Nothobranchius furzeri: one gene and its partner. The protein of the gene in region 2 interacts with the protein of the main gene of each other region in a pairwise test. Links are inferred from orthologs where the notes say so. Each region holds a gene or a part of one and is shown on either strand. Other genes may lie near its edges.

Region 1 (3,950 bases), on a different chromosome or scaffold from region 2:
GCTGGAGGCTCCAAAAGTAGGGGAGGACACATCTAGCGGGTTGAAGTGGAGGTGAGAGCGACTAAGAGGAGGTCGGGAGAGCACGTACTCCTGAAAGTTCAGGGATGCGTGACTTGTTGAGGGTTCTGTGCAAATGAAAGGGAAGTTAATATCATGAATGACAGAAGAAACAGCAAAATGTTGTTTCTGAGCAACTTCTAACCTGTGTTACTGGTGCTTGGCTCTGGTGAATCCCGTCCATCAAAAGAAGGAGGTCCTTCTTCATTACCATTCGGAGGAGGAGGAGGAGGAGGAGGTGGCAGCAGGCAGCTCTGGTCTGTCCGTTGTCCTCCCTCTCCTCCTTCGGGAGCATCTCCGTTCTTAAAGTATTTCTGCAGCCAGGAAGGAACGATGCTCTTCACCGTGTCCGTCACTCGACTAATCAGGCCTGACTGCTGCAGATCAAGACACAAGAAATATGGCGTTAGACAAAGAATATACAAGGAATGTAGAAAAACAAAATAATAAGCATGTTTTTGTTACATTTCCAGGTTTTACAGATGTATATGTCCCCTAAAAGAAACAGACATAACCAATCACACAGCAAAAATGAAAATAATTTTTTAATGAAAGAAAAACAAAACAACTTTACTTTGGCGTATAAAAACTTGCTTTTGTTGTTACAAAAATAAATAAACTAAAGAACATTTTTCAGCTTTACAGAAACAGGATTTATTAGTTGGGCGTTGTGTGGTTTCTCATTACCAACCCATGTTGGCAGAACTGAATGCTGCCATTGCCACAATTATGAATGAAGGCATTTGTTTCCTCCTTATGGGTGTTTTTTAATAAGTAAACATCATACTGGGATTACCCACTGTTAGTGTCACATATGTACCATGATGGCGGGCCTAGCTATAAGAGGGATGGGTTGAAAACCTGCTATTCATGAATCATCTAAACGATTCCACTTTGATTAACCCAAAATACTGAGTTTGTTTCATTTCATTTATAAAATCACTATCCCATCTTTTGTTTATTTTTCCCTTTCATCTAAAGAAAACAAGACTATGTTGAACAGAATGTGCTCCAACTAGTCTGCTGCACATCAACAACTGTGGTGACTTGCAGCAAACTGCAAACATGGTTAAATCCAGATTTATTTTTCTTCCAAGTCAAAATTAATAATCTTAATGTTTCTATTAAAAGTGAATTAAAGTTGTACAAAAAGCAACTGGACTTCTTTTAAACTCCCAGAGAGATGTCAGATTTTCTGCAGCTCGTCTCAGGTTGCTGCAATTTGTATTTGACATTTTTGTATTACCCCAAATTTTCCAAACAGTTAAACATTAATGACTTGTGCAGTTGGGTACTTTCAGAAAAACTTTTCTGATCTTCGTGACATGGCACAAATATTAGCAAGAAGCAAGCATGTTGCTAACACAAGAACTGAATGTTTAATTTACTTACCATGTAAATCAAAAAGCCACAGCAAATCTTTAGTTTATTAGCATTTGCAAAACTAGACTTTACTTGTTCTTGTCGTTATTTGTTTAAAATAATGCAACTTCTTCTAATTGTAACACCTCATAATACAACGCTAATAATGTGGTAAACAGCAAGGTTGCGCAATAACCTACAACCATCAGCTTTGTGTCTGCCACTAACCTGCATGTTTAACATCTTATGTACTTGTTTGATTTCAATAAAGGCTGATTTATTGCAAAAACATGAGTGCCAGGCCTGTATAGAATAAGAACATACAAGTTTTAAAGTGAGGTGGAAATGGATGCACATGTTTTGATGTAGCAGAGTTGTTTATGGTCAACTTAGCAAATTTTAAATAATTAACGGACAACGTTTGTCATAAAAACACTGCTGACAAAGTAATTATTTATTAATACACCGACCTTAGTTAGATATCATTTCTGCAACTCTAGAGACTTAAGCATTTTATTATAAACACACTATGTGGAAATTTTAAGAGATGACAAAACAGATCAGAGAAACCGCCGAGTGCCCAGCCACGTCTTGCCTAATGTCTACATTTTAGAGTGCTTTTAAAAACGTCAACTTTGACATCAGGGCGGTAGATTATCCCTCAGGGGGACCATGTGGGTTCCCAATAAACCCAACGCTCCTTGCGCAATTCTGCAGGCTGAGATTTGACTTACACTAGTCATTTATATAATACCTCAGTGGTATTATTGTACAGCTGCATTATAAACGTTCACGTACTTAAATAAATATGTAACGACGGAATAAATGATCGTGTCACTTGAATCTGCGATGTTGAAAAGCACCAAAGACAATGCGTTGTACGCCGATGCTAGTGGGTTAGCTCCAATTAGCAGCTGAAATTCTACTTCCTCGCTTCGTGCTAACTTGGCTAATCACTTTCAACTTACAAAATTATTATCTCAGCTTTTCATGTAGGGATCTGAGCTAAAACAAAAACTAACTAAGTTTTCTGGACGATACACTGTCGTTATTTGACTGTCAAGTCCGTCTAATTTTGCTAACCTTAAGCCAACTTGCTAGTTTGTTAGCATTTCATGGGCATGCTAGCGGCGCGTGGAGGCCACGAGCGCTAACTGAAGGCCATAAAATGTCTCAAACAAAACAATAACAAAACAAACTGAAGAATTGTGGCAATTCAATCACTGTGCTGTGCTCGACTGAGGCTGTTAACACGGAAACTTTCACTTGATTTACCTGTTTACTCTTGGCGTAAGGTTTAGAAGCAATCTGACATCTCCTGCTTCTAATTTTCCCTCCACCCGTGGCCGCCATGGCTCTGTCGTCTGAGTGAGTCTGCCGTTGTTTCGGCGCCGGATAGCTGTCATCCAGCACAGCGGCCGCCGGCAGATGAATTGTGGGTAATGTAGTGAGTGACCATAACAAAAGAGGTCAAGGGCTCTTTATGGAGCCGTTTTTCTGTGCGCAGCATTTATTTATTGGATTATTATTTATTGAGACTGGGGTGAAAACTATTAGCTTATTTAAAAAAAAAAGAATTCAAGATAGTCTTGAAATAAAAAAAATGATTGATGTTGTTTTCATTTATCTGATAATAGCTGGCTACCCCTAAACAATTTTCACAGGGGCGGCCAGATGGGGGGCAGTGAAAATTTGGGGTGGCACACCAAATTGGTCCCCGTGGCAATAATAATTTCAAAATTGACAAACACAAACATTTCAGAATAAATCCAGTTATTACTGGCCTTGTTTCATATTATTTGACGGTTTTAAAAGTTTAATTTACGCATTGCTGTCATAACAAAATTATTGGGATTTATGCCTTTTTATTAAAATGAGGAGGTTCTGTGGCACAAGCATATTTTTAAATACAGATTTATTGAATACGGTATTTATTGTTACTTATTAACAATCGATCAAAATAAACGTACTGACATCTATTTATGTCTTGATCAAAAAAGATTAATGTATGATTTGTGTGAACATAAATGTGTTTTAAGGGAGTGTGTGTGTGGGGCAGAGGGCTTCCACAGGTCACGAGGCAGGGATGGCCAACTATTTTTTAAAGATGGCAATGCCCTCCCTATTTCATCGCAGACCTAAAAGAGTAGGTCAACAAGGGCTACATTCCATTTCTGCAGATGCACTTACTGGTTGTAAGTGGAACGGAGTACGGTGAAACAGATCTACAAAAAACAGTTTTTACTTTCAACATTCTGAGCCGTTTGTTGAATATTTACACAAAATAATCCAGACACCACCAGTGTACATGTGTGTGTAATGCGGAAGAAGATTAGGGCACTGAAAGAAAAAAAAATTTAAATCAGCTGTAAAACTTATGACTTTATCAGTGGCCCCAATCCTCCTCCGTAGTATGAAGCTTCATTGCCTTGAATTTTAGCTTTTACACTCAAACCTGAACCGGAGTCAACCAGACAAATGTTTTTATTAGCATTCTGGATTTTTAAAATCACTGATGCAACTTTAAATAT
Region 2 (4,011 bases):
ATTCTAACTGAGGTTGTTCAAAGTGCTCTCCATAACAGCTATAACACCTGAGTTTTTCTGGATCCTGAAAGGGTTTTGATGTCATCGTTCACTTTATGCTCACTCTATCGCTCTATCGACATTGTAAGAGTTGATGCAGAACCAAACACATCAGCTCATTGTTTACTTTCATAAAAGCAAATTTCACATTTGTTCAGATGTTTAACCTGAATAAAAAGGGCATATTTTCTTTGTTTGTTTTTTGTTTGTTTGTTTTCTTTTCATTTGGAGCACATGGGTTATAAAATAATGTAAGTTTATAATAATATTAAAGTAACCATTTAAATGTTAAGCTAAAAATGCCAGTATGTAAAAATGGTTAACTTATTATTCCAACATTTGCATATTTTTTTTACTTTTTAGTTTAGCAATTTTCCAATTTATTTGAGTGCTTGTTTCAAACTAAAATATGGTCTATTATACGGTTGACCTGCATTTTGAAAGGTTGAAGCAGTGTTCACAGAAACGTAGCGGTTTCATAGTTACCTGTTAAGTGGCTCATTTTTTCCCACAGATTTCCATTTAATTTTATTGTTGTTTTTTTTTTTACAAAACTGAGCACTTTCTCTTTTGTCTTTCCAGGATGGCCTCCACCATTAAAACACCTTGTTTCAGTTCTAATGTTTTAGGTAACAAAATGTCATGTTGTTTTTGCAGCACCTAAAAGCAACGCATTATATTTCAAACATCAAACTATTTTTTTCTGTCTCCACATTTCATTTAGCCACGTTTTAAAGTTTCGCTTTGATTTATTGGCCCAACACAGCAACTCCACGTTGTTTTCAGTGCATGTTGCGACATCTTTTGGCGGGTATGAGGACTTTCCAGTTACCTTGAGAATATAATACATTTTATTTGACTCACAAAGTACATAAATATGAATTTTATTCCTATTATTTTCAGTTTAATTGTGTTTTTTCTTCCCTTTCTTTTCCAATGTCATGATGTTGATTTTAAAACAGTAAATGTGTATTTCTTTTTATTTATTTATGTATTTTTGGAGACTGGTAAAACGACATTGAAGTTAAAACTCACAATTCATGTAAAAATTAGCAATAAAGAACTCAAGTAAGTAGTTTTTATTGGCATTTCTACATTTGGAACATTTTAGAAACTGTCTAATTTTGTGTGAATTCTGTTCATGTTGGTAAAATGCAAAGTAAGAGCTGAAGTTATGGGGGAAAGTTTACTGAAAGAGTTAAAACATTGTGAATGCAAGTTGTCTTCAAACATAAACGTATTCACAAAGTGACTCTTGTTGTGGTGACCTATAGGGACGACCACCAGGTGACGCTATTTTCCTATCAACGTTGAGAGTCAAGAAAAGAAGTAGAAGAAAACCAATGCGCATGCGCCAGTAGATGCGAAAATGGCGGCACTCCTGGAGCAGGAGTTGGAGGCGTCAGAGATTTCAAAATTACCCAAAACAGTTCAAAGTAAACTAGAGAAAATTCTTTCCGATCGTCTGTATGAAATCGATTCATTGAAAGCACAGCATGAACTGTACCGGGTTAATAGCGGTAAGTTGATTCGGTGGTGCTGAAGTAACCGAAATGTTTTTCAAGGGAGCAAAGTCAGTCAGTACTGTTTATATATAAATACAATTATACAATTGCTGTTATTAGTAAACGAGTTGTGGTATTGTGCTTTAGGTGTAACTTTTTTAAGACTGCCATCGAAAATCTGCTAGAGTCGTTAGCTAACTAGTGCTAGCACGTGCTAATTCCTAAAGCTAACAGAAAACGATACCTGTTATTCTTCAATGAATGTGAAACTAATTCAAGTTTATGGCGCCGTCTACTTTGAACAGAACAACAGTTTTTTGAGAAGGCTGAACAGCTCAGCCAGAGGCAAACAGAACTTTTGTCCCAAACACAAGAACTCCTCAAACTGAAAGAGGAGATCTCCAAACTCGGTAAGAACGACCATGTTGCCGTTTTAGCTGCATTTAAATCGGCTGCGCTGTTTAGAGTTATAATAATCGAGATTTGTCACACTGGTGCAGGTGAAGAGCTCAAAGATGCCCGGGAGAGGAATAGTGAGTTTGAGTCTGTGCAGGAGAGATTGTCATCGGAGCAGGTAATTCAGCAGCACTATAAAATAAACCAGATGTGTAACTGCTTGCTCTAGTCTGTTAGCGTCAACAAAAAATTAATCTAGAAACCAGTGTGATATTCATTCATGTTGTCTATGGTCACACATCTAAAATAAAATCAGTTCAGGCTAATTATAAGTTAATTAAATTATCGTCGCAGTTTACCACTTGATTTTTTTGGGAATCAAATAAACTTTTTACTTGTTTTTACCCAATGCCTTGTGTTCTTTTATTCTAAAACACTTGTGGTCCTTATCTTGAAATGTGCCAATGATACATCATCTATCTTCCTTTAAAAGGAAGATAAATTAAACTAATGAACTGATGAAACTAACATCGGTAAATCAGGGGTCTGATCATGTAAGCAGTGTAAGCCCATTTACGAGCTCCTCACCATGATCTTAACAAGCTGTGTATTTGTTCAGACTTTGCTCACAAAAGTCAAAGAAGACCTGGAGGCAGAAAAACTTGAACTTGTGCGAACGCTGGAGAGGAGGTCCTTGGAAGTGGAACATTTAAATGGTATGCAGACTAATTTCTACCTTTTTTATTAGTTTAGTCATTATAAATGATTATTTGGACATGTCGCTAATGTTGCTGTCATTGATTTGCCAGATGACTTGAGACAGCTCAATGATAAGTTAGTGGATGTCAGCACCTCTAAGATGGCTCTGCAGATGAAGTTAGATGAGCTTGAAGCTGCAGAAATCAACATTAAGGTGAGTTGTGTCATTTTTTTGTTTAAAAATCAGACTTAGGGCTGCTCAATTAATCAGATTTTAATCCCAATTACGATCTGAGTTTTGAACGGTTATAAAAACAAAACAAGCCGATTATTTGCTCCTTCCTCTTGTGCTGCCCCGAATTACAAATCAAGCGCTCATCCCACAGTGTTGCCAACTTAACGACTTTGTCACAATTTCCAACAGCTTTTCAAACCCCCTCTTGACTTTTTAAATCTTAAAAGTACCTAGCAAACACCTCAGGAACATCTCTGGTAACCCTTAGCTACTTTCTAGATAACTGTCGTCGACATTTCCTGCAGGTTAGAAAAACACTCCCCCTGCGCTCCGTACTGTCCTTCAGGACATTAGGAAAGGGAATGATGTAGTGATGTGTCGGTCGCAAAAGAAACGGCTCTCAGAGCCGGCTCCCTGTTGGATTAACCGGAGTGAGTGACACACACACCGTACCTGCAGGCTCCTGAGCCGCTAAAAACAGCTAATTGTGTGTGTGCTGCGCGCTAAACACACGTGCAGCTTGCCCCTGATTGCTGTGAGACTGGGGTGGGGGGTTGCAGCAGCACACCTCTGATCACTGTGGTTGGGACAATTATTACATTAACTGATGGACCTGTAAATAAATAGTTTATAAATAAGGTAGAAATAGATAGAAATAAGTTCCTCACGCTGATGAATAATAATCAATCTCTGATACTGAGAGTTGCTTGTGCACTCTCCTACAGCACCTTGACAGGACTAAATAAATGTAATGCAACATTTTGTGAACATCACTAAACATTTTTTATTTATGTTATAAATGCCACTGTATAATTCTTGCTGTCAGTATTTGCAAGATATTGGTATTTGGGTCTGTACTGTACTAATTTGGGTGTTATTTTTGACAAGGTCACTCAAGAATGTTGGTCCGAAACTGTTTTTATCATTTAAGAAATATCTCCAAACTGCGAAGGTTGGTGTCAAAACATGAACTTGAAATGGTTCTCCATACCTTAATCTCCTCCTGTCCTGTCTAGATTACTGTAACACACTCTTCACATGTTTTAACAAAAAAGCCCTTGATCGCCTTCAGCTGATCCAGAACTCTGCAGCGAGGCTCCTAACTGGAGCAAACAGAAGAGCACACGTCACTCCTAT

What was found. The genes of interacting proteins can lie anywhere in the genome.
Region 1: the proteins of tprb (region 2) and nup153 interact in a two-hybrid assay, tested with the Homo sapiens proteins (3 studies listed by BioGRID, with this or other methods). The link is inferred for Nothobranchius furzeri from reciprocal best matches to the Homo sapiens genes TPR and NUP153.

Annotation. Positions count from the first base shown.
Region 1 is NC_091759.1:104,980-108,929, forward strand, and holds the start of nup153 (nuclear pore complex protein Nup153), read right to left. Parts: upstream 2,807-3,950; 5' UTR 2,773-2,806; coding exon 2,695-2,772; intron 435-2,694; coding exon 203-434; intron 126-202; coding exon 1-125. UniProt on the Homo sapiens protein: Component of the nuclear pore complex (NPC), a complex required for the trafficking across the nuclear envelope. Functions as a scaffolding element in the nuclear phase of the NPC essential for normal nucleocytoplasmic transport of proteins and mRNAs.
Region 2 is NC_091748.1:67,351,038-67,355,048, reverse strand, and holds the start of tprb (translocated promoter region b, nuclear basket protein), read left to right. Parts: upstream 1-1,210; 5' UTR 1,211-1,408; coding exon 1,409-1,559; intron 1,560-1,849; coding exon 1,850-1,954; intron 1,955-2,044; coding exon 2,045-2,118; intron 2,119-2,559; coding exon 2,560-2,656; intron 2,657-2,749; coding exon 2,750-2,853; intron 2,854-4,011.